Saccharomyces cerevisiae S288C: one gene and its partners. The protein of the gene in region 4 purifies or fractionates together with the protein of the main gene of each other region. This does not show direct contact. Each region holds a gene or a part of one and is shown on either strand. Other genes may lie near its edges. The genes, in order: TAF10, TAF3, TAF7 and TAF2.

Region 1 (6,475 bases), on a different chromosome or scaffold from region 4:
GCTGGTTCCAGAAATGGTGTTAACTTTATTGGGTTCAACGGTACTTTTCAAACCTTCACTATCCTTGCCCGTATCACTTATTATTTGGAATAATTGATTGATTTTCAAATAATACGACAGCTCCACGCACCCTTGACTTTTATCTTGATTAGTATTGTTTTGTAATATAAGCCTTTGAGAATGAATGATTTTACTAATCATATGGCCAGACAACTCGTTCAGTTCATTCTGAAAGCCATTCATTTTGATGGACATCCATCTTAGGATTGGATTTTCATTGGATGATGAAGTTGTGTTCTTGTTACCACTTTCACTTTCTCTTTGATTATTATTGATAAAGTTTTCTAAGTTCAACAATTTTGAAAAGAGGGACAAAATTGTTTCTTGGGGTTGGTCAATGTTAAAATTTGAATTTATTAAACTGTTCCAAATCAGATCTTTATACGTGACTAATAAATTTTCTATTTGAGTCCAAATTCTTTTTATAACAAGAGATTGTGAAGCATCTGAACTCTGGTTGAAACGGCGACGGAGCGTAAGACCTTTTGAATATTCGATAATGAACTCATTGAAATCGTTGTTAGTCAAACATCTCTTTAAAGATTTGGGTAGGTTGAAGTAAAACTTATTCAATTCAATAAATTTTTTGGTGGCCTGGTAATTCAAAATTTTCTGATAGTTATCCATTAGCGGTTTCAGTTTGAAAGTTGTTGTTCTAATAACCTCGTCGACCTTTTTATTTAAGCTTTCCACATTTATTTGATTTTCTTTTGGTGAATCACATTGGTTTTTTTCATTCGTTTTCTCGTCAAATTCTTTGTAAATTTGGTCTAACTTGTTTTTAATCTTAACATACTTGGTGAAATTTTTACCAACCAATTGTTTCAAATGTATAGATTGGTCTTGTATATCACTGTCCAACCTGTCCAGTGAGTTATTTAGATCATTGAAAGAGTCTTGTTTGTGCATATCTCTCAGAAAGGCTTTGACGTTGAATTGTTTACTGTTGACAAGATAGTTCAACCGCATTGAATCATTTGGTAGATGTTGCAATTCTTTAGACATTTCTTGTCCATTCAAGGGATCTCTAATATAACTTAACGACTCATCGTTTAAATATGCTCTCGATTCCTTGTCAATGCTAATTTGATTGCCATATTTGAAGTCTTTTAATATGTCGAATGACGTTTCAACGCCAAGTTCATTGCTTGTAGCCTCTTCATTATTCAATTTTGAGGAATCTTGGGCCCAGGAATGGGTCGGATTAATAGTCTTCAACTGATAAAAACGAAGTAGTTGCTCGTCGCCAATTTGAAACCTATCCATGGTACCAAACTTTTTTTCGCTACTTTATTTCAACAGAAACTTCTTTCCTAGTTTAGCAGCTTTAACGCAGCTTATTTTTGTTACTTTAGTTGAATAGTAGGAGTTGATACTTTTGTTTTTTCAAGTTGAAAACAGAAACGAAAAATTAAAGAAGCTGCAGATTCAGCATTCATGCCTAAGCTAAAAAGAACTGGCAGCGAAGAACAGAGGAAAGAATAACTGAAACTATGGATTTTGAGGAAGATTACGATGCGGAGTTTGATGATAATCAAGAAGGACAATTAGAAACACCTTTTCCATCGGTTGCGGGAGCCGATGATGGGGACAATGATAATGATGACTCTGTCGCAGAAAACATGAAGAAGAAGCAAAAGAGAGAGGCTGTAGTGGATGATGGGAGTGAAAATGCATTTGGTATACCCGAATTTACAAGAAAAGATAAGACTCTGGAGGAGATTCTAGAGATGATGGACAGTACTCCTCCTATCATTCCCGATGCAGTAATAGACTACTATTTAACCAAAAACGGGTTTAACGTAGCAGATGTACGAGTGAAACGACTTTTAGCACTTGCTACTCAGAAATTTGTTAGTGATATAGCTAAGGATGCCTACGAATATTCCAGGATCAGGTCTTCCGTAGCGGTATCTAATGCTAACAACAGTCAGGCGAGAGCTAGGCAGCTATTGCAAGGACAGCAACAGCCTGGCGTGCAGCAGATTTCACAACAACAACATCAACAGAATGAGAAGACTACAGCAAGCAAAGTTGTTCTGACGGTGAACGATCTCAGTAGCGCTGTTGCTGAATACGGGCTCAATATAGGTCGCCCAGACTTTTATCGTTAGTGGCTAACAAATGGAAATGAAATATGTATATAGTGTAGCAGTATGCAACTCTTTTAAATACACGATTCGTTATTAGATTGATTAGAGCACTTATTCACGCAAATTTGACACGCTTTTTGAACATCCGTTTTTCACGATTTTTTACTGAAGGATCATGAAAGATTGCCACATAAGAGAACACCTCCGTTGCACCAACACTTCATCACGATAAAAAAACTATCGAGCTATCGTACTACGGAACAACTACATAAGTCAAAAATGGCCATTGATTACTCTAAGTGGGATAAAATTGAACTATCAGATGATTCTGATGTCGAGGTGCATCCTAATGTGGACAAGAAATCGTTCATTAAATGGAAACAACAGAGTATCCATGAACAGCGATTCAAAAGGAACCAAGATATCAAAAATTTGGAGACACAAGTGGATATGTATTCTCATTTGAACAAACGAGTGGACAGAATTTTGAGTAATTTACCTGAAAGTTCTCTTACTGATTTGCCAGCCGTTACCAAATTCTTGAATGCAAATTTTGATAAGATGGAGAAAAGTAAAGGGGAAAATGTTGATCCTGAGATTGCAACATACAATGAAATGGTTGAAGATCTTTTTGAACAATTAGCAAAAGATTTAGACAAAGAGGGCAAAGACTCGAAGAGCCCATCTCTCATAAGGGATGCTATTTTGAAACATAGGGCTAAGATCGATTCAGTAACTGTAGAGGCTAAGAAGAAATTAGATGAATTATACAAGGAGAAAAATGCACACATTTCATCTGAAGACATTCATACAGGCTTTGATAGTAGCTTTATGAACAAGCAAAAGGGGGGGGCTAAGCCACTGGAAGCAACTCCTTCAGAAGCTCTTTCGAGCGCTGCAGAGTCTAATATTCTTAATAAACTAGCAAAATCATCAGTTCCGCAAACTTTCATCGATTTTAAAGATGATCCTATGAAACTGGCCAAGGAAACTGAAGAATTCGGTAAAATATCCATTAATGAGTACTCAAAATCTCAGAAATTCTTACTGGAGCACTTACCTATTATTTCAGAACAACAAAAGGACGCCTTAATGATGAAGGCCTTTGAGTATCAGTTACATGGTGACGATAAGATGACTTTGCAAGTCATTCATCAATCCGAATTGATGGCCTACATTAAGGAAATCTACGACATGAAGAAAATTCCATATTTAAATCCAATGGAACTATCAAATGTCATTAATATGTTTTTCGAGAAGGTTATCTTCAACAAGGACAAGCCAATGGGTAAAGAGTCTTTTTTGAGATCAGTTCAAGAAAAATTTTTGCACATTCAAAAACGTTCCAAAATTTTACAACAAGAGGAAATGGATGAATCGAATGCTGAAGGAGTAGAGACGATTCAATTGAAATCTCTAGATGATTCTACAGAATTAGAAGTAAACTTGCCAGACTTCAATTCTAAAGATCCAGAAGAGATGAAAAAGGTTAAAGTTTTCAAAACTTTAATACCGGAAAAAATGCAAGAAGCCATAATGACCAAAAATTTGGATAATATTAATAAAGTCTTTGAAGATATACCAATTGAAGAGGCTGAGAAACTTTTGGAAGTGTTTAATGACATTGACATTATTGGAATAAAAGCGATCTTAGAAAACGAGAAAGACTTTCAAAGTTTGAAAGATCAATACGAACAGGACCATGAAGACGCCACTATGGAGAATCTGTCCTTAAACGACCGTGATGGTGGCGGAGATAACCATGAAGAGGTCAAACATACTGCCGACACTGTTGACTAGAAATTTATGTAGCTATTTTACTGGTGCAGCGTGCATCTACTTCCTTTTTTATTGTTATTTTCATTTATACATAATACAAAAAAAAAAAAGAAGAAAATTAATGATCAATAAAGAAAATCGTGAAATTACAGCAGAGGTTTTGTACCTGCTTTCCTACGTTAGTACATAATATCTTATTTTTTATTAGTGCATGTTTTTCTCAGTGTGTGTTTTTGTAATTTGTATATACTACACAAAGAATCGGAAGGGTAAAATGTGAAAAATACTGGGTCTTTTGAAATATATTGAACGGGCTAATATATGAAATGAATATGAAAAGAAGAAAAAAATGTGACAAGAAAAAAGTGGTGACAAAAAAGACAAAATAATTATTCAGAGATGATAAACTTAAAGCAAAACTTGGTAACAAACTTTCATTAAAACAAAATATGTATTCTTTTTTCATTTTCATTTTTTTTTTACTGTTTTTTTGTTATTTCATGGAACTGGTAAAGAATTCTTAAGATTTTAAGCTCATTAATAAAAACGCAGCACTATTGTCTTCCCCATTTCTTGGCTGCTGTTCATGTTTCTGTTGGTCGTGTTGTAGGGGAGGCTCAATATCTCCATTCTGAGAGTTAGTAAAACTTGGATTTGTAGGTTTAGGGCTAACTACGCCATTAGTAGAACTTGCTACGCTGTCTATGTTAGGTGCTAAACTGTTATTTCTCAGAGAAGCTGCACCAATTGATTCCCAGTCTTCTTCGTCTGTATCTGAGTGAGGTTGATGATGAGAATGGGGAACAAGTTGTGGCGACGATTCCCCATTCAGGTGTTGTGAAGCTACTCTATGTTTCTCCTTGTCCGATAATACTATCGGATTTGAACTTACATTCATCTGTTCTTCTAGCTTAGGGGAGGTGGAAACCGACGTAGCTTTAGAGTTAGGGTTTGTAGTGACGATCAAATAGTTTTTGTTTGGGAAAAGTGTCGATCTAATACTTGATTCTTTCGATACAGACAGACGAGAAGCTCTTCTTGAAGTTGGCTCACTTGTCGCAGTAAGTTTCTCTAAATCTATCTTCGCCTGGTTTGAGTTACTGTTGTTATTTGATGGGGTTGTCGTTGAGGTTGTATTGGGGGAAAGGTAGGATGAATCTTGGTGTGTGTTTAGTTTGGAAATGAAAGGTGTATGTGGTTTTATGCTCGAACGGCGTCTATTTCTTAATAGCGGTCTAATCTTTTGTGCTATTATTTCATGCTCAATATTCTCGGGAGTTGAATCGGCGAACACAACTTGAGACCTTCTCCTGCCGAAACTATAGGGATCACCATTTGAAGATTTTCCAAAATTATTACTGCTGTTCCTCGATTTGTTTTGGTAATGTAAATGATGGTCATCTTCATCAAACTCCTCATCCTCATCTTCCGATGCTAGCGCATTTTCATCTATATATACTACGTTTGCTGCTGCAAGTGGAGATTTGCTGCGTTTGATATTAACAGGAATGGTGGTGGAAGCAACAGCGGTAGGCGGGGTGGTGGCTCCATCGATATTCGTGATATTATGCTCAACTTTCATAGGCATTTCAACTTTGCCGCCTGAATTAGAATTTGAATTGTTGCTTTTCCTTCTTTGACTCTCTTGAGAAATCAAGTCTTTCACCTTTGCATTTGCAAAATTGGTCGCTTCCAGCTCCTTATCAAAGTTGGCAGGGTCTACTCTTTTCGCGGACCATTGACCCCATCCAATTTTTTCAAATACCACTGATTTTTCTTTATCACCACTTTCCATAGCACTCATTATAAGTCGTCTTTGCTTGGAAGATGATAAATCTTTAAAACAGGGAATATCTAGGCATAAGGTCTGTGTAATGTGTCTAATGGCCAATGGTCCCATTTCTAGTAATAAAGTGGACAGTTTCCCGGGCGTAACTCTTTGAGCGGCTGCTAACCCAGCGGGTGATGATGTGGAGATAGGTTTGGAAAATATACTAGAGCTTGCCTCGGATTTGACCGATATGGCTTGAGGAGGCGATACCTCCTTTTGGTTTTCTGACATTATTAGTGGTAGTCTGAAATAATGTCTTTTTATTCAAAATTTCAATTTATTAGAAAAGCACAAAGCAGGAGCTTGGCGTTTGTACACCGAATGATTCAGATGATACTATACTCTTTTTCCTTCTTTTCAGCGGAAATTTAGTAACGGTCTTTAATCGTGTTTACAAGTGGTTACAAATTCACGTGCTCCGATTGGAAACTGGTTATTGACACGACTCTTGAAAATCTCAGTTCGCCCTTTTTTGCGATAAATTTAACGTGCTTCTGATCAGGATTGCCAGGCACCGTTTGCAATCAGTGTCTTTTATAATCGATTTGTCTTGGATATGGATGGTATTACCGTACCTGTATCTTTATATTATAGCGTGGATTGCGTGAGATTGTGTGGAGATGAACATGAGAAGGATAAAGACTATCTGAAATAGTTCACTCTTCGGTTACTAAGGTAAGGAAGGCGCCTCTACCCTCTCAGCGCGCACGTG
Region 2 (7,219 bases), on a different chromosome or scaffold from region 4:
CCTCCAACTCCTTCCGGCTTTGTTGTCAAACTAAGGAAGCATCTTAAAGCTAAACGGTTAACAGCTTTAAAGCAAGTAGACCAGGATAGAATTCTTGTTCTACAATTTGCTGATGGCCACTTCTATTTAGTTTTGGAATTTTTCAGTGCAGGGAATGTCATTCTTCTAGATGAGAACAGAAGAATTATGGCTTTGCAAAGAGTCGTTCTAGAGCATGAAAATAAGGTCGGACAAATTTATGAAATGTTTGACGAATCACTTTTTACCACAAATAACGAGTCTGCTGATGAATCCATAGAAAAAAACAGAAAGGCAGAATACACCTCTGAACTAGTCAACGAGTGGATAAAAGCAGTTCAAGCCAAGTATGAATCAGACATTACTGTTATTAAGCAACTTAACATTCAAGGGAAGGAGGGCGCTAAAAAAAAAAAAGTGAAAGTACCTTCCATCCATAAACTGCTGCTTTCGAAAGTCCCTCATTTGTCTTCAGATTTATTATCAAAGAACCTTAAGGTATTCAATATCGACCCTTCAGAGTCTTGTTTAAATCTTTTGGAGGAAACAGACTCACTCGCCGAATTGCTAAACAGTACTCAGTTAGAATATAATCAACTTTTAACTACCACCGATAGAAAGGGTTACATTTTGGCCAAAAGAAATGAAAATTATATCTCTGAAAAAGATACTGCCGATTTGGAATTTATTTATGATACATTCCATCCCTTTAAGCCATATATAAATGGGGGAGACACTGACTCTTCTTGTATCATTGAAGTTGAAGGTCCTTACAATAGGACGCTAGACAAATTTTTCTCAACAATAGAATCCTCTAAGTATGCTCTACGTATACAAAATCAGGAATCGCAAGCGCAAAAGAAAATCGATGATGCTCGTGCCGAAAATGATAGAAAAATACAAGCTTTATTAGACGTCCAAGAACTAAATGAAAGGAAAGGCCATCTCATAATTGAAAATGCACCCTTAATAGAGGAAGTTAAGCTTGCTGTTCAGGGTCTAATCGATCAACAAATGGACTGGAACACTATTGAGAAACTAATTAAAAGTGAACAAAAAAAAGGCAACAGAATTGCTCAGCTTTTGAACTTGCCTTTGAACTTGAAACAGAACAAAATTAGCGTCAAGCTTGATCTCTCTAGCAAGGAACTCAACACTTCTTCAGACGAGGACAATGAATCAGAAGGCAATACTACTGATAGTTCTAGTGACTCAGACTCAGAAGACATGGAGAGTTCGAAGGAGAGGAGTACAAAAAGTATGAAAAGAAAATCTAATGAAAAGATAAACGTTACAATTGACCTTGGTTTATCAGCTTATGCCAATGCCACTGAATATTTCAATATCAAAAAAACAAGTGCTCAAAAGCAGAAAAAAGTCGAAAAGAATGTCGGCAAGGCTATGAAGAATATTGAAGTCAAAATTGATCAACAATTGAAAAAAAAGCTAAAAGATTCTCACAGTGTCTTAAAAAAGATCCGCACTCCTTACTTTTTTGAAAAATATAGTTGGTTTATTTCAAGTGAAGGATTTTTGGTCATGATGGGTAAAAGTCCGGCTGAGACAGATCAAATCTATTCAAAATATATTGAAGATGATGATATTTATATGTCCAATAGTTTTAACTCTCATGTATGGATCAAAAATCCAGAAAAAACAGAAGTTCCACCGAACACTTTGATGCAAGCGGGTATACTATGCATGTCCTCAAGCGAGGCTTGGTCGAAGAAGATATCTTCTTCTCCATGGTGGTGCTTTGCAAAGAATGTTAGTAAATTCGATGGCTCTGATAACTCCATTCTGCCAGAAGGTGCCTTTCGGTTGAAAAATGAGAATGATCAAAACCATTTACCCCCTGCTCAACTTGTGATGGGTTTTGGATTTTTATGGAAAGTGAAAACCAGTGGAAATGAGGATAATGGTGATGATGACGAAGAAGAAGAAGAAGAAGAAGAGGAAGAAGAAGAAGAAGAAGAAGAAGAAGAAGAAGAAGAAGAAGAAGAAAAAGAAGAAGAAGAAAAAGAAGAAGAGCAACAGCAAGATGAAGACGATAGTAACGAGGTCAATGGGTTAGAGAAGGGTGGAGATTCAAACGATAGCACGAAAAACAACAGTTTTGAACACGATAATCTTGAAAAAGACATCGAAAAGCATTGCACCATATCATCCGATACCGACTCTGATTCTGGAAATGCTAAAGCCAAAAATGACAATAGCAGTACGCAGCGTATCCTTGATGAACCAGGTGTTCCGATATCTTTAATCGAAAACATAAACAGTAACGTCCGTGGTAAAAGAGGAAAATTGAAGAAAATTCAAAAGAAATACGCCGACCAGGATGAAACTGAACGTCTCTTGCGTTTGGAGGCCTTGGGTACTTTGAAGGGTATCGAAAAGCAGCAACAAAGGAAGAAAGAAGAAATAATGAAGCGAGAAGTTAGAGAAGATAGAAAGAATAAACGCGAGAAACAAAGAAGACTACAGGCTTTAAAATTCACCAAAAAAGAGAAAGCAAGAGTGAACTATGATAAACACAAGTCCGAATTAAAACCATCTCTCGATAAGGGCGATGTGGTTGATGATATTATACCAGTATTTGCCCCCTGGCCTGCGCTTTTGAAATATAAATACAAAGTCAAAATACAACCGGGAAGTGCGAAGAAAACTAAGACTTTAACTGAAATTTTACATTATTTCAAGAGTAGACCACTAGACGGTTCTTCAACTGACAACGAAATGGATTGGCCCCAAGAACATGAAATGATTAAAGGCTTGAAGGAACAGGACTTGGTTCTTCTGCTCTGTGTCGACAAGTTAAAAGTAACAATCGCTGGGCAGAAATCCACCAAGAACGGTGGTAACTCTTCGAAGAAGGGCAAAAAAAAACGCTAAATCATATGAGATGAAAAGAAAATAGACAGCAATTATAATTTTTTCATTATTTTTCATCACAGACCAACGAGAAGAATAAAATGATTAGCATGAGGTGACAATCATTTCTAAATGAGCAACATATACTTATATATATAAGTAGATACATATATATGGAAGGGAGAAAGTAAGACACTGCATATATACCATATAAGACCAGCTAAAATTTTCTTCTATCCGCTTTGCCTTGTGATCATAAGCCTTGCTGTAACCTTTCTTGAAACTTGCTCTTTGCGAAACCCCACGCGCCTAAGAAACCCTTATCCAAATCTAATGCCATTTGGGGTTCGTTCGTAGGTGGTTTAGAAACTCTGGATGCAATAGTGTTAGAGTCAGTTTCGAGGATAACACCATTATCAATGGTTTCATCAATAGCTAATAAAACCATATCATAGTTTTCTTGGATGTTTTTTTTGTCCATTCCTGAGTTCAAAATCAAATCCAAAGCTCCTCTGATTGCTGAAAATCCTTGCTGAAGAACAATTTCATTCTCTTCCAGCGAAGCAACTAAATATATCGTGATATCAATGTATTCTTTGTAAAGGACTAAATGATCCTCGAAGATTAAAATCTCCGAATCTTGCTTGTGAGTCTTACGGTATAGTTGTTTCTCAAACTCTTTTTGCTTCTTCACCGAATTGAAGAGCAATTGGTGTCCTTCATCAGATCTATGAGGAGGTTGATAATACTTTGCATAAATTCGTTCTCCTTGCTGATCTAGTATTAAAACAGCCTGAACAGTATATAGCGATAAAGAAGACATCCTGGAACAATGATGCACAGTACTCAAAATTAGCAAGCCAGCTCACAAACAAAACCTAAATGCCTAAAGAACTTCTGTCTAGCAATAACTTCGATATTCCACACCTTGTAGCCTAAACAATGCAAACGTGTTTTTTCACTTGACAGAAGTGGCGAAACGGGTAAGCTCGCGATGCTTTAGTTTTTTTTTTCAGTAATTTCATATTGCATGATGAAGGTATGCTAATATAACACTTGAAGTAGCTTCCTGAGCAATTCCAAATCACCTACTAGCGGAAAACAGCGATATCTTTGGGTCAATAGAGTTCCTCTGCTATGACTACAAATAATGACTTCTATTTTGCTCTACTACGCATATCTATTCTCCAATTATTGAAGGCACAAGGATTTGACAGGGCAAGGCCCAGTCTGGTGGATGTCATGACCGATCTCTATGCAAAATTCTTGAGTTTGTTAGCATCAGAGGTCAGTTCTATCGCTCAGGCAAGATGTGATCAGGACGATACAATTGCTTTACAAGATATAACTCTGGCTCTGGAAAATCTAGGTATTGTTAAGCCTACGAACGTTCTGGATGTCTATGATGAAAACTCCGAATTATCAAGTTCACGAGGAATGGAAAAGTTCAAGGACTGGTGTATTTATAGTACTCAATTGACCGACGCGCGAATAACTGCCTTACCCACAGTAGAATTACTACAAAGTGAGGAAAAAGAATCTGATCCTTTGTCAGCAATACCTGACTATCTCAATCAATTACTGCAAAACAAGGGTGCGAAACAGAAATTAGAAACAAAGAATAGAAAAACAGAGTTGATAGAAGATCTAATAAATAATAATGGATTAGATGATTGGATCAAATTAGTCATTGCTAGACAACGTATAAACATGATTGAAAGAGCTTCCAAAAAAGAATCTCAAAATGTACCGGCTTTACCACATATTGCAGGCTATAAATCTTCCATTCTAAGCCGCCATCACCACACTACCATAACAAACGAAGATAGGATGCCTTCGGCGATGACCCCAAGAGATGAGGATGCCTTAACAGAGATCCAAGAAAATCCATTTGTAACTAGCAAACTGCCGATAATGAGAAAAGAAAATAGGTTAGAAAATATAACTCTTTCATTTGAGGATGAGGAGCTTGAATCACTTGGCGAAGTGGAAGGCCCTAACCAAAAGTCTCAAGAAAATAACAATGAGGAAAGTTTTAAAGAGAACAATAAAAGTTTAACAGAGTCTCCTCATGGTGATGACCGTGACATATCAATGTTTCAATTCGACTCAAATGTTGATACTAAATGGGCAGAGCAGGAAGATATGGACAGCACATTTCAACGTCGAACCTCACTAGATTATGGGGGTTACTTTTAAAACGACATTTCTGCATTTTCTTTCGTCATTATCTCATCCATATTTAATTAACCTCACATTATTACTATATAGTGTACTTTCGCTTCTTCAAGATAATAAGCAATTAAACGCCCGATTCATTTTTTTCTTTATTTTAATCATTTTTAATATACAGTATTATAATATTCTTATATATACATATCTGATTTTTTCTCCAGGTGTGTAATTAGCCATATTGCTCAGTTTCAATCTTCTATAATTTTTTTCTAGATTTGAACTTTGGACCTTTCTTATTATGTTTGCCAATCTTGTTACCTTGATTTACTCTTCCTCTCATTAGCCTACTATCCTTTTCACCATCATCATCATCGCCAAATTCATCAGAGTCCTTTCCATTTTTCCTGAATTTCAGCTTGTTTCTTTGACCTCTTACAGGACCACTTTTCACAGCCTCTAGATACGCATTGATTCCGCTTGTCACAGCACTCAATGGATCGTCTACATTAGTAGAGGGTTTAGGTTGCCCCTTGACAACGAGTTTTCCTTCTGAGTCAAAGTTAAACGCATCATCATTAAACCTTGCTCTATTTTGATTCTTATTGAATTTCTTTGGTCTGGTAGATGATATATGAGCTAGTGTTTGAGAATCTAACAAATCTAGTGGGTTGTCACCGGATTCTACAATAAATTGCTTTGCCCCATTCTTCATTTTGCCACCAGCAACATTTTCCTCCTGATCTGATCCATTATCATTTTCTTCATCAGACCCATAAACAGCTTCATCGAATGCAGACATAAATCTTGAACCCTTTGTGGCAGCTACATCACTAACTCCAGTAGTAACTTCTTCATCTTTACGCTTATTCCTATTGCGCATCTTTCTTATATTTGTTAATAATCTCCTATCTTCTTCAGGGAAGTTGGCTTCAATGTAGTCATATCCAAATCTCCTTATTAATCTTTCAATAATATGCTTGACTTTGGCTTTGAAATGACCAGTGTGTTCGTGAGACCATCTTAATAACTTTAGAAGTAACTCTGGCACCTTTGGCCTCATCAGTTCTTCTGGAAGCCCCAAAACACAAACCTTGGTAAACCCAATGGCGCTTTTTACAATTTCCCTAGAGTTAGAAGTTAAGTACAATTCAATGGTGTCATATATATCCATTAGTATACCGGAATCGAGTTCATTTTTGAATTCAAAAACTAAACAAGCATAACCCGTAATTGAACTACTAACCATATGTTGAGATTCACCAATAAGACCGGCAGAAATGATCTTAAAAAACTCTGATATTGACGACGATTGATCTGGAGTGGTAGGATCATAACCTGGTATTTGGAATAATTTGATAATACCATTTGGCTCATTCATTTTTCTTCCCATACAAATTAAAGTATCAAAAGCGGTCTCTCTAGATTTTTCATTCACATCCTTTGTACTCAAAATAACCTCAGCGACGGTTCTAACAATGAAATCAAGATGATCTAAAGGTAATAATTCTACTATGGTTTTAATTGCTGTTAATCTTGCAGCTTTAGCAGATGTTTGAACAGAGGAGGCGCTATCTACCATGACATTCTCAATATCCGAAATGAATTGGGCGACAGCTGTTGATCCCGATTTCAACTCAGAAAGCTTTGTAATAATTCTATAAGCTCTTTTTTGAATTAGCGCGTCAGCAGAATTTACGGTGAGGCTAAACATTGAGAATAAAGCAGAATAAGACGAGACAGGTAAGTATGTTATCATACATATGATTAAGTCCAATAGTGTCGCTGTCAATTGAGGCTTTTTCTTTTCTTTGTTCACATTTCCGCTACTTTCTTCATTCATAGAATTCTTCAAAAGACCACATACGTTGTTGAAAGTTTTCTCCAAATCTTCCTTTGAAGTAATCTTTAAATATTGATCAATCGTTTCCAAAATATAACTCCTTGCATTTGGAGTGGTTTGAGTATAAACATTGAACAAAACTGCTAGAAGATTCGTTGATTTGGTTGAAAGGTATTCTATATTCTTTTGAGCTTCAGAAATGGGGAAACGTTGCAACAATAAAACGTTGTGAGAAGAGGACTCTTCGGCATATGAAACATTGCTTTCTGCCAAGACCTTTAAAGCATGACAAATTGTAGTTCTTAACTCAACCTC
Region 3 (8,053 bases), on a different chromosome or scaffold from region 4:
TAAAGGGCGTGATTCCGAATATCTATACTTAGCATTGGATGATGATAGATTAGGTAAAGTACATTCTTCAAGAGTTGGTGAAATTGAAAATTCAGAAAATTTAAGTTCCAGGGTCCTTGGTTATAGCCCTGTTGATGACATTTATCAATTGTCCACTGATCCAAAATACCTAAAATTAAAGTATCTAAGAACAAATGATATTCCAATCGGAGAATTATTACCAAGTTGTGAAATAACTTCCGTCTCTAGTTCAGGTATTGAATTGAAGATATTTAACGGGCAATTTAAGGCTTCTGTTCCACCATTACACATTTCAGATACCAGGCTAGTTTATCCAGAAAGGAAGTTCAAGATAGGTTCTAAGGTTAAAGGTAGAGTTATATCAGTTAATTCAAGAGGTAATGTGCATGTCACTTTGAAAAAATCATTAGTTAATATTGAAGACAACGAATTACCACTGGTTTCCACTTATGAAAACGCCAAAAATATCAAAGAAAAAAATGAAAAGACTTTAGCAACTATTCAAGTTTTCAAACCAAATGGTTGCATCATTTCCTTTTTTGGTGGTTTATCGGGATTTTTACCTAATTCTGAGATCTCAGAAGTCTTTGTGAAGAGACCAGAAGAACATTTAAGACTCGGTCAAACAGTAATAGTAAAACTTCTTGACGTCGATGCTGACAGGAGGAGAATTATTGCCACATGCAAAGTTTCAAATGAACAGGCTGCCCAACAAAAAGATACCATTGAAAATATTGTTCCAGGCAGAACAATCATTACTGTCCATGTTATCGAAAAAACCAAAGATTCTGTTATTGTTGAAATTCCTGATGTTGGCTTGCGTGGTGTCATCTACGTTGGTCATCTCTCTGATTCCAGAATTGAACAAAATAGGGCTCAGTTGAAAAAGCTCAGAATCGGCACTGAACTGACTGGTTTGGTAATTGATAAAGATACAAGAACCCGCGTTTTCAATATGTCCCTCAAAAGTTCTCTGATTAAAGACGCTAAAAAGGAGACTCTTCCATTAACATATGATGATGTTAAGGATCTAAATAAAGATGTACCAATGCACGCTTACATTAAATCCATTTCTGATAAGGGTCTCTTTGTTGCATTTAACGGTAAGTTCATTGGGTTGGTTTTACCAAGTTACGCTGTTGATAGTAGGGATATTGATATCAGCAAGGCGTTTTATATTAACCAATCCGTTACCGTCTATTTATTAAGAACAGACGACAAAAACCAGAAATTCCTATTATCTCTAAAAGCTCCAAAGGTCAAAGAAGAGAAGAAGAAAGTTGAATCTAATATCGAAGATCCTGTTGATTCGTCTATCAAAAGCTGGGACGATTTGTCTATTGGTAGTATTGTTAAAGCAAAAATCAAGAGCGTCAAGAAAAATCAATTGAATGTTATTTTAGCGGCAAATTTGCATGGCAGAGTGGACATTGCTGAAGTGTTTGACACGTATGAAGAAATTACAGATAAGAAACAGCCGTTGAGTAATTACAAAAAAGACGATGTCATCAAGGTAAAAATCATAGGTAATCACGATGTCAAGAGCCATAAGTTCTTGCCGATTACACACAAAATCTCAAAGGCTAGCGTTTTGGAATTATCCATGAAACCATCAGAATTAAAATCTAAGGAAGTGCACACAAAAAGTCTTGAGGAAATCAACATTGGGCAAGAGTTAACTGGCTTTGTCAACAATTCATCAGGTAACCACCTATGGCTAACAATTTCTCCAGTTTTGAAGGCGAGAATTTCTCTACTAGATTTAGCTGATAACGATTCAAATTTTTCAGAAAATATTGAATCTGTTTTCCCATTAGGTTCAGCCCTCCAAGTGAAAGTTGCCTCTATTGACCGCGAGCATGGCTTTGTCAATGCCATTGGAAAGAGTCATGTTGACATAAATATGTCCACAATTAAAGTTGGTGATGAATTGCCAGGTCGTGTTCTAAAAATAGCTGAAAAGTATGTTTTGTTAGACCTTGGTAACAAAGTGACTGGTATTTCCTTTATTACGGATGCGTTAAATGATTTCTCCCTAACATTGAAGGAAGCTTTTGAAGACAAAATTAACAACGTCATTCCAACTACCGTTTTATCTGTTGATGAACAGAATAAGAAAATTGAACTATCCCTTCGTCCTGCTACTGCAAAAACTCGTTCGATCAAATCTCATGAAGATTTGAAGCAAGGCGAGATTGTAGATGGTATTGTTAAGAATGTGAATGACAAAGGTATTTTTGTTTACTTGAGTAGGAAAGTTGAAGCCTTTGTCCCTGTTAGTAAACTATCTGATTCTTACTTGAAGGAATGGAAGAAGTTTTACAAGCCTATGCAATACGTTTTGGGAAAAGTCGTTACATGCGATGAAGATTCTCGTATTTCTCTAACCCTAAGAGAATCCGAAATAAATGGTGATTTAAAGGTTCTAAAGACCTATTCAGACATTAAGGCTGGTGATGTTTTCGAGGGTACAATTAAAAGCGTCACTGATTTTGGTGTTTTCGTCAAACTAGATAACACTGTTAATGTTACTGGTTTGGCACATATTACTGAAATTGCGGACAAAAAACCTGAAGATCTTTCTGCCTTGTTTGGTGTTGGGGACAGAGTAAAAGCTATTGTTTTGAAAACAAATCCAGAAAAAAAACAAATTTCATTGAGCTTGAAAGCGTCTCATTTCTCTAAAGAAGCCGAATTGGCTTCTACTACCACCACCACTACTACTGTGGATCAACTGGAAAAGGAGGATGAAGATGAAGTCATGGCAGATGCTGGCTTCAACGATTCCGACAGCGAATCTGATATCGGAGACCAAAACACCGAAGTTGCCGATAGGAAGCCTGAAACATCTTCGGATGGGCTATCCTTGAGTGCTGGTTTTGATTGGACTGCTTCCATTTTGGATCAAGCGCAAGAAGAAGAAGAGTCTGACCAAGATCAAGAAGACTTTACTGAAAATAAGAAACACAAGCACAAGAGAAGAAAGGAAAATGTTGTTCAGGATAAGACCATTGATATCAACACTAGGGCACCAGAATCTGTTGCCGATTTTGAACGTCTACTTATCGGTAATCCAAATTCGTCCGTAGTGTGGATGAACTATATGGCTTTCCAACTACAACTGAGTGAGATCGAGAAGGCTCGAGAGCTCGCAGAACGTGCGCTAAAGACCATCAACTTCAGAGAAGAAGCCGAGAAGTTGAATATTTGGATTGCAATGCTGAATTTAGAAAATACTTTTGGTACCGAAGAAACTTTAGAAGAAGTGTTTAGCAGGGCTTGTCAGTATATGGACTCATATACTATTCATACAAAACTGCTTGGTATTTATGAAATAAGTGAAAAGTTCGACAAAGCAGCAGAATTATTCAAAGCTACAGCTAAGAAATTTGGCGGCGAGAAAGTTTCTATCTGGGTATCGTGGGGTGATTTTTTGATCAGCCACAATGAAGAGCAAGAGGCACGTACTATTTTAGGTAATGCTTTGAAGGCCCTACCAAAGCGTAATCATATCGAGGTTGTCCGCAAGTTTGCTCAATTAGAATTTGCAAAGGGTGACCCAGAAAGGGGTCGGTCATTATTCGAAGGTTTGGTTGCTGATGCGCCAAAGAGAATTGACCTGTGGAACGTTTACGTAGACCAGGAAGTGAAGGCAAAAGATAAGAAGAAGGTGGAAGATTTATTTGAGAGAATAATAACCAAAAAAATAACAAGGAAGCAGGCTAAGTTTTTCTTTAATAAATGGTTACAATTTGAGGAATCTGAAGGTGACGAAAAGACCATTGAATACGTTAAAGCTAAAGCTACTGAGTATGTCGCTAGCCATGAATCTCAAAAAGCAGACGAATAATTCCTGATGGATTTTTAACTGTAAAGTAATATAAATGGCTAAGTTTGTAAAGTATATTTGTAAAGTACATAGAATGTAAAGTTTCAAGAAGCAATTTCTATCGATCAATTTAGCTTTGACGGTTCGTAGAGCTCCTTTTCTTAAAGTTTTAGTTCCGCTTCTCGCTTCTTGATTACAAGATGGTTCCGTGTTAACGAAGATTGAGTTCTATGTATTTTTTATATTCACACGCTAAAATCACATATTTATTAAATAATGAAGTAAATTTTAAAAGCACTTTTTTCAACCAGAGTGCTCTGTTTGATACATATCAACAAAATCCATTAAAATATCTGGTTTGAAAGGCCACTCCATGAATAATTTCGTTAGATATATAAACTCGTCATTTGTCAAATCAATCGGACACTTTTTTAGCAGATCTTTGTCAGTGATTCTACTATTAAAATATTGTTGGCCACCATGTCCCAGCGAGTCCATGACAGTATTCAAGGGTGTTCTTTTCAAAATCATTAAGTGCCTCGTGACATAATCCCAATTATCTACGTCAAAATCGAAGTCAATTGGGTCCATTTCTACTAACGCAATTGGCTTTCCCTTTGTAGGCCATATTTCCGCAGCACTAAATAAAATGGGATCCCATTCTTCTATGCATTGACTATCAAATCCCTTCAATTCATTTGCGTCTGATATGGCAATGAGTTTAGTATCTGTAAATGCCTCCCTTACTACTGAACATTTGGATCTAGAATGCATGCCTGGCCTAGCTAGAAGTTTTCTAGCTGTTGTGCTTGGCATCCATAATAACATCTTTACTTTACCAAACCTATACAACCAGTTCTTGTTTCCAATACAGGACAGCCACTGCATTATAAGACCTTCAGAACCCTCCCCCGTCACATTAGCAACGGTTAGAAATTTATCATTAATATGATCTGAGGATTGAACTTCAGGAACAAATATTCGCTCTTCGTCAATTAGATTCGAGTAGGTTGACCAGTCATATGGATCTCTTTTTAGAATTTGCAATGGAGACCCTTCGAATTTTGCATTCAGAAACTTGTAGAGACTTGAGCGTTTTTCTAATAAAGAATATTGCCTGGGGCAATATTTATTATAAAAAATAGCTGATTGTATACCAACACCAGGGTAGAGGTCAAGTACTTTCAATTCTTCTGGATGTTTATACGTTTTAGTTAAATCCAGCTTATCAAAGATTTTATTGTATACTGTTGGATTCCATAAATATTTGAAACCATAAAAGAACTTAAGTTTGGAGATATCTTTAATACCAGGGATTGGAACAGACATAGTTGCTGAGCCTTCTTACTTCAAAGAATGGTATTGACTGACGTAGTAACCGCATTTGTAAAGTTTCATCTCTATTATCATCATACAATAATATCGCTGTTATTCGGCCGATGAGAACAGTAAATAAAATTTCAAGACAAAACTTGCTAGCAAAAATAATAAAAGCGAGAAGAATAGGAAGAACTACATAAACAAGAGACAGTGTTACCATTCAAATTAGTCGCAATAATCGACGTAAATATGGCTGTTATAAGAATTAAAAAACCCAGAGGACCAGGAGAGAAGGATCAACCATTAGAAGGCGAGCCTAAACTAAAGAGAATTCGCATAAAGACAAAGGTAACTGATGAAGATATCAAACCAAAGCCTAAATTAAAGATAAACCTAAAGAAAAAGAAAGAGAGTGCTGACGGCAAAGAGAAGAAGAATTCATTGAAGTTAAAGTTAAACTTGAAAAAAAATGAAGAACCAGTTAAGAAGATACACAAGGCGCCAAAGCTACGTCTCAAACCTATTAGAATTCCTGGGGAAGCGTACGACTCAGAAGCCTCTGATATTGAAGATGACCCTCTCATAGAGAGTGGTGTGATATTAAGGATACTTCCAGACATACAGTTAGAGTTTGTAAAAAATTCGTTAGAATCAGGTGATTATTCTGGGATAAGTATCAAGTGGAAAAACGAGAGACACGCTGTCGTAACAATAAACGATGTAATGTATGGTGCCATTCTAGTAGATTTGCCTACAGTTATAGAAGTGAACAAGAGCGTCGATAGAAAAAACCTCCTGAAGACATTTGACGTATCACAAATGCTACTATGCATAAGACCTATACAAGAAGAGGAAGAAGTATATGCCCTAGAAGCCCCTGATACAGAAGATCTGGTTGTTAAGCATTTTGAAGGCATAGAGGATGAAATTTGGGAGAATAAAGAAACCTTCTTAAAAGGATACAATGGTGCGCCTTTAAGTGATATGGAGGCTAAACATTTGAAAGAAATAGCTTTGAAGGGCTATGACTACAAACATGGAATATCACCACCTTTGTACAATGTTCGAAATAGACGATTTAGACGGAAAATGGACCCTAATGAAATAGACTATGTAGAAAAAGTGGTTGATATGCTTTTGAAGCAAGATAAACAGGCAGAAGAGGTCAGCTATGATCTGGTTGATAAAAGTGAACTGCAAGCGAGGCAAGAGCGTGTTTCTAGTTGGGAAAATTTCAAAGAGGAGCCTGGAGAGCCTTTATCTAGACCTGCTTTAAAGAAAGAAGAGATACACACAATTGCTTCGGCAGTAGGAAAACAAGGTGCAGAAGAAGAGGGAGAAGAAGGAATGGAAGAAGAAGAAGAGGAGGATCTTGACCTAGGCGCTGCTTTTGAAAGTGAAGAGGAAGGTAGCGGTGCCGAGGGAGACAAGGAGCAACAACAAGAGGAAGTCGGTGATGAGGTGGATCAAGACACAGGCGGAGAAGATGATGACGATGATGACGACGGTGACATTGAAGCTGCTGGTGGGGAAAGTGAATCTGATGACGAAAAAGACGAAAACAGACAGCACACTGAATTACTTGCGGACGAATTGAACGAACTAGAGACCACCCTGGCCCATACCAAGCATAAATTAAGTAAAGCCACGAATCCTCTTTTGAAAAGCAGGTTCATAGATAGCATTAAAAAGCTCGAGAAGGAGGCTGAACTAAAACGTAAGCAGTTACAACAAACCGAAGATTCTGTCCAGAAACAACATCAACATCGCTCTGACGCAGAAACTGCAAATAACGTCGAGGAAGAAGAAGAGGAAGAGGAAGAAGAAGAGGAAGAGGATGAAGTGGACGAAGACGAGGAGGATGACGAAGAAAACGATGAGGACGAGGATAATGTGCATGAACGGGAACACATACAAGAGAACAAGGTGGTGCGCGAACTTGATGAAGCCCCCGCAGAGGAAACACTCGACCAGAACGATCTCGATATGATGATGCTATTTGGTGCAGAGGGTGATGAGTAAGTTCTCTTTATCATCTATATATTACTCTTATACACTATACGACTCTACTCTATGACGTATAGCATTGATATATATTAAGGCACGACACCGATTTTTCTTATCGGAGCGATATAAAAAGCTGAAGAAAGGAGGATAGATGAAACAGCATGGCGCATAGAAAGTGTTCAAGCTCACTAGTAAAGGCGGGAAATAGAACATTGAGAACGTATTTTGATAATGTCCCAAGGTAGAAAAGCTGCAGAAAGATTGGCTAAGAAGACTGTCCTCATTACAGGTGCATCTGCTGGTATTGGTAAGGCGACCGCATTAGAGTACTTGGAGGCATCCAATGGTGATATGAAACTGATCTTGGCTGCTAGAAGATTAGAAAAGCTCGAGGAATTGAAGAAGACCATTGATCAAGAGTTTCCAAACGCAAAAGTTCATGTGGCCCAGCTGGATATCACTCAAGCAGAAAAAATCAAGCCCTTCATTGAAAACTTGCCACAAGAGTTCAAGGATATTGACATTCTGGTGAACAATGCCGGAAAGGCTCTTGGCAGTGACCGTGTGGGCCAGATCGCAACGGAGGATATCCAGGACGTGTTTGACACCAACGTCACGGCTTTAATCAATATCACACAAGCTGTACTGCCCATATTCCAAGCCAAGAATTCAGGAGATATTGTAAATTTGGGTTCAATCGCTGGCAGAGACGCATACCCAACAGGTTCTATCTATTGTGCCTCTAAGTTTGCCGTGGGGGCGTTCACTGATAGTTTGAGAAAGGAGCTCATCAACACTAAAATTAGAGTCATTCTAATTGCACCAGGGCTAGTCGAGACTGAATTTTCACTAGTTAGATACAGAGGTAACGAGGAA
Region 4 (10,501 bases):
TTCGACAGTTCAATAAGACATCTATAAAATCTTCAAAGAAATATTTAAACTCATTTATGGCTTTTAGAGCATATTACTCACAGTTTGGCTCCGGTGTAAAACAAAATGTCTTGTCTTCTCTGCTCGCTGAAGAATGGCACGCGGACAAAATGCAGCACGGAATATGGGACTACTTCGCGCAACAGTATAATTTTATAAACCCTGGTTTTGGTTTTGTAGAGTGGTTGACGAATAATTATGCTGAAGTACGTGGTGACGGATATTGGGAAGATGTGTTTGTACATTTGGCCTTATAGAGTGTGGTCGTGGCGGAGGTTGTTTATCTTTCGAGTACTGAATGTTGTCAGTATAGCTATCCTATTTGAAACTCCCCATCGTCTTGCTCTTGTTCCCAATGTTTGTTTATACACTCATATGGCTATACCCTTATCTACTTGCCTCTTTTGTTTATGTCTATGTATTTGTATAAAATATGATATTACTCAGACTCAAGCAAACAATCAATTCTTAGCATCATTCTTTGTTCTTATCTTAACCATAAACGATCTTGATGTGACTTTTGTAATTTGAACGAATTGGCTATACGGGACGGATGACAAATGCACCATTACTCTAGGTTGTTGTTGGATCTTAACAAACCGTAAAGGTAAACTGCCCATGCGGTTCACATGACTTTTGACTTTCCTTTGTTTGCTAGTTACCTTCGGCTTCACAATTTGTTTTTCCACTTTTCTAACAGGTTTATCACCTTTCAAACTTATCTTTATCTTATTCGCCTTCTTGGGTGCCTCCACAGTAGAGGTTACTTCCTTTTTAATATGTACTTTTAGGATACTTTCACGCTTTATAACAATATCAAGTTTACCTTCTTCATTACTATTCATCTTCGCCACAAGTCTTCTCTCCCTTGGTGTTTCCAATCTAACTACAAAACTGTTGATTAGGGTGTACATCACCCTAACAAGATCATGTATTTGCTTCCTCTGGTACAAGCTAAGAACAGGTAAATTCAAAACATCCCAGAGTAATATCTTCAAAGGGCTATACCCTTTAAACATATCTCGGCATATTTGTATTAACCCACTAATATTTTGACGGCCAATCTTTTCTATTTTTATTTTCATATCATCGACGTAATGACCACTTAAAAACAACTCAATATCATCCTCACTTTTTATATTTTTAACTTCATTGTGCACAGATTGGACGGAGGACTTAATATCGTCACTTATGGTATCCAAACTACCATCCATAACAACTAGATTTACACATTCAGAAAGCACATCAACACTTTTATCCCTAATATAAGAATCCTCATGGAAGCAAAGTATTTCAGTAAACAAAACAAGGGCATCCTTGTTTTTTAAACCACCTTCTAAAAGCATGATTTTCAAAACCATTAAAAACTCATTCTGAAAGCTTTCCCTGGAAATATCTCCGTTATTTATACCTAATGTTAATGTATGCATTATCATTCCTGTCAATTCCGTAAAGTCATAAGCACCCACTTTATGCAATTTGTACTTAGCATACATGATAGTAGTCTTAATCAAAGACTCGTATGATGAAAGCCAATTCACCAAATTTTCGTACCTCAATAACTGAGTCTTAACTTTTTCCATATATGCTTTATCTTTATACTCATTTAAAGCAACTTTAACAACATTTTCAATCAAGCTGCGGACGTACGCATCATCACTGTATTTATTTTCACCATTCTCATTATAAACAAGAATATCCAGTAAAAATTGCTTCACCAATTTTGGACATTTACCATTTTCATTTTTCACTTTAGCCAAATATTTGGGAATATTACACTGTAAGAAATACAACTTAGGATTCTCAAAGTTATTACTCTTTGGAATATTAGAGTCTTCTAGGCAAAACAAAATCTGAAAAATCTGAATTAAATGCTTAACACCGCCAGTAAAATCCGGATCATATACGTATTTACTAAGCGCTTCGCACGCCGCGAGTCTTATGCCAAAAAAGTAACGCTCGTCGATCGCCGTTCTAAACAAAATACTTGAATAAACAAGTGATTTCACACCACCATTAACAACGACGTCCTCATAATATCGTATGGCTTCTAGTTGGGCCTCTATGTCCCCATCTTGTCTCAACTGAGAAGAAAACATGTAATCCGGCTGATTAATGTGCATTTGGCAAATCCATTCCAGATCAGAGTCTATGCGTATCCACTCAAATGCTTCGTTTTGCTTAAGCAATTCATTACTCTCAGACGTACGATTAAATTCCGTCAAACTGAATCGGGAACACTCTTCGGGCGACATGTATACATTTCCTAGACAATTCACATCCACAACAATAGGCTTCTCCTCATTATTGTTTTCAACACCATTTTCATCATTTGCACCACCACCTCTTTTCCTTAATCTTCTGTACTTTGTATTGTACTGAATATCTATTTTTGTGAATGTATCTTTGATTTCCACAATATGCTCATACGGAGTACCATCGTGTTCATGGATCCTTATAGTCATCGAGCCCGTGAAGCATTCGGTTCGGTTCAAATCTGGATGTTCTAAGTGGTCTAGTGCACTTTTGAAAAATCCTTCCTCCCCTACCACTTTTTCGTGGCCAAGTTCTTCATCTTGAACTTGCCTTATACCCAGTTCTATAACCATCCTCTTCCTATTAAATCTTTGGGTGACACGTAATATGGGTACCCCAGACCCATATACCCATTCGTTGAAAAAATTCTCTAATTTACTTTTATTAACTCTTTCGCAAACATGTTGAAAATGCGATGAAGTCAACGAATTATTCGGTAAATCACCAGACATAGCTTGAAGGAAAATTTTAGGTAATACTCGAGACATACCGAAAGATCGTTCTGTTTTAGTCATCCTTCTGTCAAGTATGTGTAGTATCATCGGTGCCTTCAATTGTATAAAGGACAAATCTTTAGAAGACCAAGATATTGGCCTAGAACTGCCGGTAAAAGTGCTCCCAATAGGCGGTTTCTCGAAGTCTTGTTCCACAATCGCCTCACTATTACGCTTTAATTGATATTTATACGTGTTATTACCCATTAATTTTTTGGTTACCTGAAACACCATATAACCAGCAATACCAAGACAGCACCAGTAGTCGTTCATATCTAAAGGAGTTATATTCACACAAGACCATTGGTTAGCAAGTGCCCATGCTAACTCATTCGTAGTACTGAATGCTTTATCAATAACTTCTAGAGGGTACAATAATCTGGTATTACAAATGCCTAATGCTGCAAAATCCATATGCTTAGAAGGTGCGGTAGGTAAAAACACCATAGAGTAACAAGTGAAAGGATAAGACCCAAATTCTTTCGAGTAGAAATCTATAATTTTTTGGCAGACAACTGTCGAATTTATAACTGTTAACTCATCTGTTTCCTGCGTCGGAAGTGTGAAAATTTGAATGGGTATAATATCCGAACCAATGTCGTCATCCATAGTATCGTTAACATTGTCCACAACATTCTCTCTCAACTTGTCTTCCTCTACTTCGTCCTCGGCATCAACACTTGGAGGTGATATCAAAGGTAAAGACCATGAATTAAAGGCGCCTATAGCCCAACCAATGTGATGTGGAGCCACAGGATTAATTATCTGAAATATGCATTTTTTTTTCGTCAAATCAATCGGGTGCGGAAGTTCTTTAATATTTGAATATTCTGAACAACACACAATCACATCCCTCAAACTCGGATTGTTGCTTTCCTCAATATTCCGCCTTTCCTCTTCCCCTTCCTCTTCCTCTTCGTCACTTTCGCCTTCCTCTTCTTCTTCATCATTATCTTGTGCATCTTTGCTTTTACTATTTTTGCCTTCTTCGTCATTTTTCAAGTTAGAATCCTTATCTTCGTCTTTGATAACTCTTGCCGGCTTCCCCTCTTCCTCTTCATCGTGCTCAGGCGTATCCTCCTTCTCTTTTTCACTCTCTTCTCCATTTTGTCCGATTAATTTCGAAGTACCTATATTTTTAACCAATCTCGGTACGCTGAATTCTAACTCCCATGTAGATTTTTCATCAAGCAAATCGACACATGGGACCCAATATGATGCAGAACTGCAAATCTCACCATTTGAAGTGTAAACGTTCCATAACCAGGGCTTGTCAGCATACACAGTATCGAATTTAATACCCGACTTTGGGTTTCTGATTTCATATTCAATTTGTAATGTAATTGGAGTGAAAACAGATTCTTGAAACCCAGGGGTAGTCTTAATTGAAGGAGTAATCGGAGTGTAATTACTTAATGCATTGGCGTCCTCCAAAGATATTTTGATGGAAGATGGTATTTTTATAGTTAACTGGGATTTAGAGTCCGTTTCTGGGTATTCATTCAAGCTAGCAAACTTAGATCTCAAAAAATGTGACTGTTCAATGGAATTGTCGCTGTATAATACATTTTGTGAAGTCAATCCATTCAAATTTGTTTGAAGTGGGTCGTCATGAATAAATTGATCACATCGACGATTTTCGACCAGAACATCTTTAATAGTCATTTCCTTGCAATCAAAAGTTACATATTCTAGGTTTTGGATCAACGGAATGATTATTATAGTAGCGCTACCGGTAATGCAGTGAGTAGCTAGATCTATATCCAACGAGATTTTTTCATGGGCAACTCTAAAATTTCTAAACTTCATCTCATGCAAAGTGCTAGATTCACTAACAATGGCTCTAGGAGTGGCGTTTTTGGAAAAGGACATCATGAAGTCCACCTATTTATCCTGTTGTCACCTCTTCACTGTCCAAAACTTCATCAAAAAATACTTTTACATCCGTTCCATTTTACTATAGTTTTCATCTTACGCAATTTACCAATTGCCCCATTCGGCAAAAGTATTTAAGTGTTACCCGGTTACTTAAGGTAATACCAAAAATATTCACTATATTGAAAGTTCTATGTATTTTATTGAATTAAATAAGACTGATTTTGTAGCACGATATCCGCAAGAATGATTCACAACCATTTTAGATGTCTGCAGCTTTTTTTTTTTTGATTTTTTTACTAATTTTAGTGCGATTTTAGAATAACTCTTGGATTAAATAAATAAAAAAAATACAATTATCACTCAGATTTTGAAGCAATCTGATAAAAATTGCAGCATATTATTATAACAATTCTAGTTCACTACAAACAGCACATTATCAAGAAACTTATGTTTGATGGACAGTTTCTTCAAATAATTGAATGCAGTAAAAAATAAAAAAAATAACCATGGAATATGTTTCTAAGAATTCGCAATCCTTGTTTATATAACTATAGCTTTTTTTATGTTATAAGAAAACATTTATTCCTTTAACCAAAAGGAAAAAGGTAACAACCCCACTTACCCCTCTGTCAATAGTTAATCATTTTATTATTTTCAACTTTAAACATCCAAAAAAAATAAAATAAATTAAATTAAAATCAAATAGAAAATGCATTATTACTATAATAATATCTCTATGTAGACATATACATATTATTTCATTGCTTTTTGTAATAAACGAGGAAAATGGTGGGATAAAAAAATGCATTGTTATTCCTTCGAAACCAGCAGTAATAAGTCGTCCTGAGAACGATGTAGATTTAGATCTTTACATGTTGGTACTCTAAATCACCTCCTTCCATCTTAAAGTCGTCCTTCTTCTTGCTCCAATCAAACTTGCTTTTCTTGCTGCTGGGACACCAATTTAAACTTATTAACCAGATAGTAAACAAAATCATGAAACAACAGAAATAACACCAAAAATGATCGTAAACGTGACCCCTTATGATATCACACACTGAATAATCATACACTTCATCGTCTATAACCAGTCCATAATTGAAATAACCGAGTCCGTATTTCAATACAGGTTTATATCCACCTTCATCGGTAAACGTACTTGGACTCAAAACTGTGCTTAGATCATTAGTTCCTTGGAATGCATGTTCTCTCAATAAGGAAGCATCAAGTGGAGCTGGGATCATCCTTTGCCAAAGTACGTTAAGAGCGCTTTCACTGCCTACTGTTGCCCCAAAAATTTCTTGGCCTTATCTTGGCACAAATATTCTTTTGCATTTAGTTCTATACATACAGAAAGAGCGAAAAAAAAGTGAAAAATAAACAGAATGTGATAACGGTAAAAGAAAATCAAAAATAAACAAAAAAAAATACATATATAACTATTATTCATGATAGTAAACAGGTGAATTAAGATATTTAGTACAATTGTCTATTACCCCAATAGGCATAATCCTCGAGGAAAAAGTCGTACAATACCCACGAGGGCCATATTGTGCACAGATGCCATAGCGCATGGGCATCAATCTGCCATTCGTAACTAAAAAAGTCAAACAGTTCCAATGACATGGCCATTGTGGTTACAATCACAAGAAGAATTGGAATGACACACAGTTTGAAGATTTGCCGCTTGAAGCTGGAGTACGCGGTTTTCTTGAATTCGCCCATTAGCTTTTGCTTTTGCAGAGCATGGTAGTTTTGGCATGATAACATTATCAATAAAATATACTGTAAAACACCGAAAAAAATGTTGAATCTCATGTTGTATGTGTACGACCAGTCAACATAGAGTCTCAAGATGTGCAGGGCAAAGATTGCCGCAACTGACGCAGTGAACGCTTGTGCTATCTTGGGGTACAGGAACATGGAAGTCATTCTTGCAAATATTGCATGAAACCCTGTTAGGACAGTTAAACCTGCGAAAAAGTAATCTAGCTTCTCCGTTATGATCAAATCACGACAGTGAAAGACCGAGCTTGCTGTCCAAGCCAACATTCCCGCCACAGTAACGTAAAGGTAGTTCCAAATCAGTATACTTCTGCTGTTTTTTCTCCTCCTATCTCCCTCTTCGCGTATGATTCTAGAAAACTTTACAAATCCCTTATAATGTGGAATAAAGTTACCTATACTGAATATCGTCGAGAAGAATTCCTGAGTCCCCAATACTCTCAAAAATGGCCATTTCCCATGGAATTGGTATATTTCTTCCTCTTCGTCAATTCTCCAGCGCGTAATGATGTGCTGACATTGGTAATCACAATCTGAGATACAATCCCAGAACAATAACTTAGAGTACAAAGGCGGGGTATCGAAAAACTCAATATCATGAAACATGTTGGTTTCAGGGTCAATGTAGTTTATTTGGGAATTCGGACATCTTCTGTTATACTCGCACGCATACGTACAGTCTATAAACTCATCTAAATTATCTCCTGGAGAGCATGTCACTAGGAAACAGTGAACAAGTAGGGTCACAACCACAGCTAACCTCATATTTCTTGCCACACTTCTGTTTCTTTTCTCCCGAAGGGTATGGTTTCACACCTTAGGTTGCTCTTTTATTCGCTTTATGAAAAATGAAAAATGAAAAGTACAAGAATACGCAAGAGAAGAGCGAAAAAACTAATGTTGACATGACATTATGCAATAATTTATTTATGAGAGAAAGAGAAAAACACTACAAATTTTTCATAAAATCACGCCTCTTCAATCGAATCTCACCAAGAGGTAGTGTGACATCGTTATTCCAACCCCACAGTTTTGAACCAGATTGAAGATTCTCAGACATAGGAGTTTGTAAAGTGGCATTGTACTCCTCCAGTTCCTTAGCAATTGCCTCTATGTTCAATCGAGGGAACGTTTCGTCGTCATATGGATCGTCCAGTTTATCGACGCCGTTGTAAAGAATCTGGTTTGGCGTAGAAGGCTTGAAAAACAACGTTCTTCTATGGAAAACATTACGCGTGGACAAATACTCAATCTCCTGTGCTATCATTTCAGGCTCAATTCCCTTCGAGAGTAGGATCGCTGCAACTCCGGTGACAATGGGCGTCGACATAGATGTACCTGACAAAATTAAAGTGTCGTTGTAGTTCAGATGAGATAGCGACTCAATTTCCACGCCTGGGGCAAAGATGTTTACACAGGGCCCCCAATTGCTGAACTTGGCAATCGTGTCAATGTGGTCATCAAAGGCCCCTACGGTGATAACGTTTTCTGCAGACGCAGGTGAGGCCCAGTAGGCGTCTAAATTGAAGTTCCCCGCCGCGGCAACAAATACAATACCTTCTTCAATGGCCCCCTCCACTGCCATGTTGATTATGGGGCTCCTGAAACTCCCTAGACTTAGATTGGCCACGCATTTTTTACCCTGTGGGCGACTGACCTTTGTGCAATGTTCCACGATGAACTCCAGACCACTAAGAACGTTACTGGCCTCGCCAGACCCGTCTTTGCCCAAGACTTTGACCTCCACAAGATTGACCCTCTTTGCCGCTCCATACGTTTTGGAACCTACGAGTCCCGCCACGTGCGTTCCGTGGCCATTCTGGTCGCCAAACCCTTCTTTGGTCAAGTCAATCCCCTGGATGACTCTGTCTTCGAATTCCGGATGGTCCGCGAAGATACCCGTATCCATGATATAGGCGTTGACGTCTTGACCTTGATAGTCGTGTTCATAGTAGTAATTGAACCAGCTTTTGTAGCGGTCCTTGTCCCCAACGTCGAATGGGAGTTGGTAGTGGCGGGAAATCCGGGCCAAGTGACGGGGTGCGTCTGGTTGATACGTTATATTTTGCTCTTCCTCGACGTCTTCGTACGAGTATTTGGCGGTAGCGTTAAACGTATAACTCGACTCGGCGCTATTTACACTGTCGCCTTCAAAAGCTTCGAACCTGAAGTTGGGCACAATATCAGCCACCAGTGGGCTTTTCTTCAGCTTGTTCACTAAGTTCTTGGACAGGTTCATGGTCACGCCGCGGAAGGATCCGATGGAGAATTTCTTCTCAATTTTGTTGTCGATGAACTGTCTCCATGACCTGTTGGAATTCGAAGTGAATTGTTGGAATGCTGTGGGATTTTTGAACCTCACCAAATACTCCTCTGCGTATGCGAGGTTGACCAGCAAAGAGATGAGTATGCACTGTGGCTTCATGACCAGTGTTTTTTTGCTGTTTTTCTTGGCGGATGTTAGAGGATGTCTAGCACTTGAGTATACCTCTATATGCTGTGTAAAATAGAAAATAAAAAAGCCAATGAGAACAATATTTTGTGTCGTTTTTTTTATTTTCGCTTCAATTCTCTATACACGTACGTCATCACTACGGGAAACCAAAAAAAAAAAAAAGAAAACAGTACAAAAAGGTTTACTTTACCCATAGTTAGTATACGTAGATTTTATACACGCACTATTTTTCTTATATACAGGAGATGGGTGGCCACAGAACCCGCGCCTAGCCTATTTCTTTCTTCTTAGACCTGCCTCGAGGTCGCCGACATCCAACCTTGTACCTCTGATGTAGTAGTGTTTGTTTCTTTGTCTGCTCGAGACGTGGGGGGTTAGCAAGTCGATTCTCTCGATCAGCGGCGAAAACAATGGCACTCTAATCTCGACGGCCGTCTTGGCTATCTGGTTCCGCAACAGCAACGAGGCGTCTTGCACCAGTTGTTTGCGGTCTATGGAAAGGATGTAGCCAACAAAGGTGTCGTACGAGCACTTGGACGAGTCGTACACAATCCGGACCACGTCGCCTGCCTTCAAGCGGTCCTTGTTCTTTTTACTGATGAGCTTCCTCTTAACGGCCCCGGGATCCAGAGACTCTATTTCTGAGAGGGCCACCTGCTTCATAATCTGCGACGAAGCTATGCGCTGCACAGGTGGGTACACGGGGATGGTTTTTCTCTTGGTGGCGGGGACCATGTAGGACCTTGTCCATGATCCAAGCAATCTGACGTTCCTGCTCCACATCGCTATGGTTCTCTCTCCCTTTCAGCAGCTGCTCAGAGGGAAGACTCGATTCTTCTTCTTCTTCTTTACTGGGAGTTCCAAAGCACCAAAATTGAAAACCAAGAAAAAAAGGAAAATACATCACTACATAAAAGTGCGCGGAGCCATTGACCACTCACATACAGATATAAGTGTATATATACAAGTATACATATACAAGTATACATGTAGAAGGAGACAGAGACAGAGGGAAATGTATAAGTGTGTATTTTTATAGTATACAAAAGAATATGCGTGTGAGGATGTGTGTTTCTTCTAGAACCTGTGTCTTCTTTTCCTCCCGGTGAACTTGGAGTCCTTCGCAACTTTCCTCCCACGTCTTTTCATGAGCTCCTTCTTTCTTAGAATGAAACTCTTGGCAGACTCCTTGTCTTTGCCTCCCTTCAAGCGCTGGCGCAGTTGTTTCTTCAAGTTGACGTTCTCCTCGTCCATGGTCACACCGTCCAAATTCACCTGCTCCTCCCCCTGCGGTGGGGCCCCACTGCTCAACACAAGGTAGTACTTCTTATTCTTTTTAGACTCTGGGTCGTCCACCACAAGCCCGCCACTGAACCCTGCCACCTTGGCAGACTGCAGTATGTCGTCCACCTGGTCGTCGTTTTTCGGGTAGAACTGGGCCACAAATTTCCCTCCCTTCTTCAGTGCAGCATACAATGTGTTGAAAAACCTCATCAACCGCTGTTTAGGATCGTTGTATGAAGTGTCCGCATTG

The links.
Region 1: the proteins of TAF2 (region 4) and TAF10 purify together in Saccharomyces cerevisiae (affinity purification with mass spectrometry; 5 studies listed by BioGRID, with this or other methods). This does not show direct contact.
Region 2: the proteins of TAF2 (region 4) and TAF3 purify together in Saccharomyces cerevisiae (affinity purification with mass spectrometry; 4 studies listed by BioGRID, with this or other methods). This does not show direct contact.
Region 3: the proteins of TAF2 (region 4) and TAF7 purify together in Saccharomyces cerevisiae (affinity purification with mass spectrometry; 5 studies listed by BioGRID, with this or other methods). This does not show direct contact.

Annotation. Positions count from the first base shown.
Region 1 is NC_001136.10:787,896-794,370, forward strand, and holds TAF10 (Taf10p), read left to right. Parts: upstream 1-1,553; coding exon 1,554-2,174; downstream 2,175-6,475. Other genes in the region: exocyst subunit SEC5, read right to left, coding at 1-1,326; Hsp90 co-chaperone CDC37, read left to right, coding at 2,433-3,953; STB3 (Stb3p), read right to left, coding at 4,453-5,994.
Region 2 is NC_001148.4:531,511-538,729, reverse strand, and holds TAF3 (Taf3p), read left to right. Parts: upstream 1-4,026; coding exon 4,027-5,088; downstream 5,089-7,219. Other genes in the region: RQC2 (Rqc2p), read left to right, coding at 1-2,910; RET3 (coatomer subunit zeta), read right to left, coding at 3,143-3,712; mRNA-binding protein RRP12, read right to left, coding at 5,321-7,219. UniProt on the Saccharomyces cerevisiae protein: Functions as a component of the DNA-binding general transcription factor complex TFIID. Binding of TFIID to a promoter (with or without TATA element) is the initial step in pre-initiation complex (PIC) formation.
Region 3 is NC_001145.3:721,752-729,804, reverse strand, and holds TAF7 (TATA-binding protein-associated factor TAF7), read left to right. Parts: upstream 1-5,419; coding exon 5,420-7,192; downstream 7,193-8,053. Other genes in the region: RRP5 (Rrp5p), read left to right, coding at 1-3,871; MTF1 (RNA polymerase specificity factor), read right to left, coding at 4,154-5,179; ORA1 (oxidoreductase), read left to right, coding at 7,409-8,053.
Region 4 is NC_001135.5:200,674-211,174, forward strand, and holds TAF2 (transcription initiation factor TFIID subunit TAF2), read right to left. Parts: upstream 4,725-10,501; coding exon 501-4,724; downstream 1-500. Other genes in the region: MATALPHA1 (transcriptional co-activator mating type protein alpha), read left to right, coding at 1-296; YCR041W (uncharacterized protein), read left to right, coding at 238-570; YCR043C (uncharacterized protein), read right to left, coding at 5,588-5,971; PER1 (Per1p), read right to left, coding at 6,204-7,277; RRT12 (Rrt12p), read right to left, coding at 7,462-8,937; mitochondrial 54S ribosomal protein bL19m IMG1, read right to left, coding at 9,241-9,750; BUD23 (18S rRNA (guanine1575-N7)-methyltransferase), read right to left, coding at 10,045-10,501. UniProt on the Saccharomyces cerevisiae protein: Functions as a component of the DNA-binding general transcription factor complex TFIID. Binding of TFIID to a promoter (with or without TATA element) is the initial step in pre-initiation complex (PIC) formation.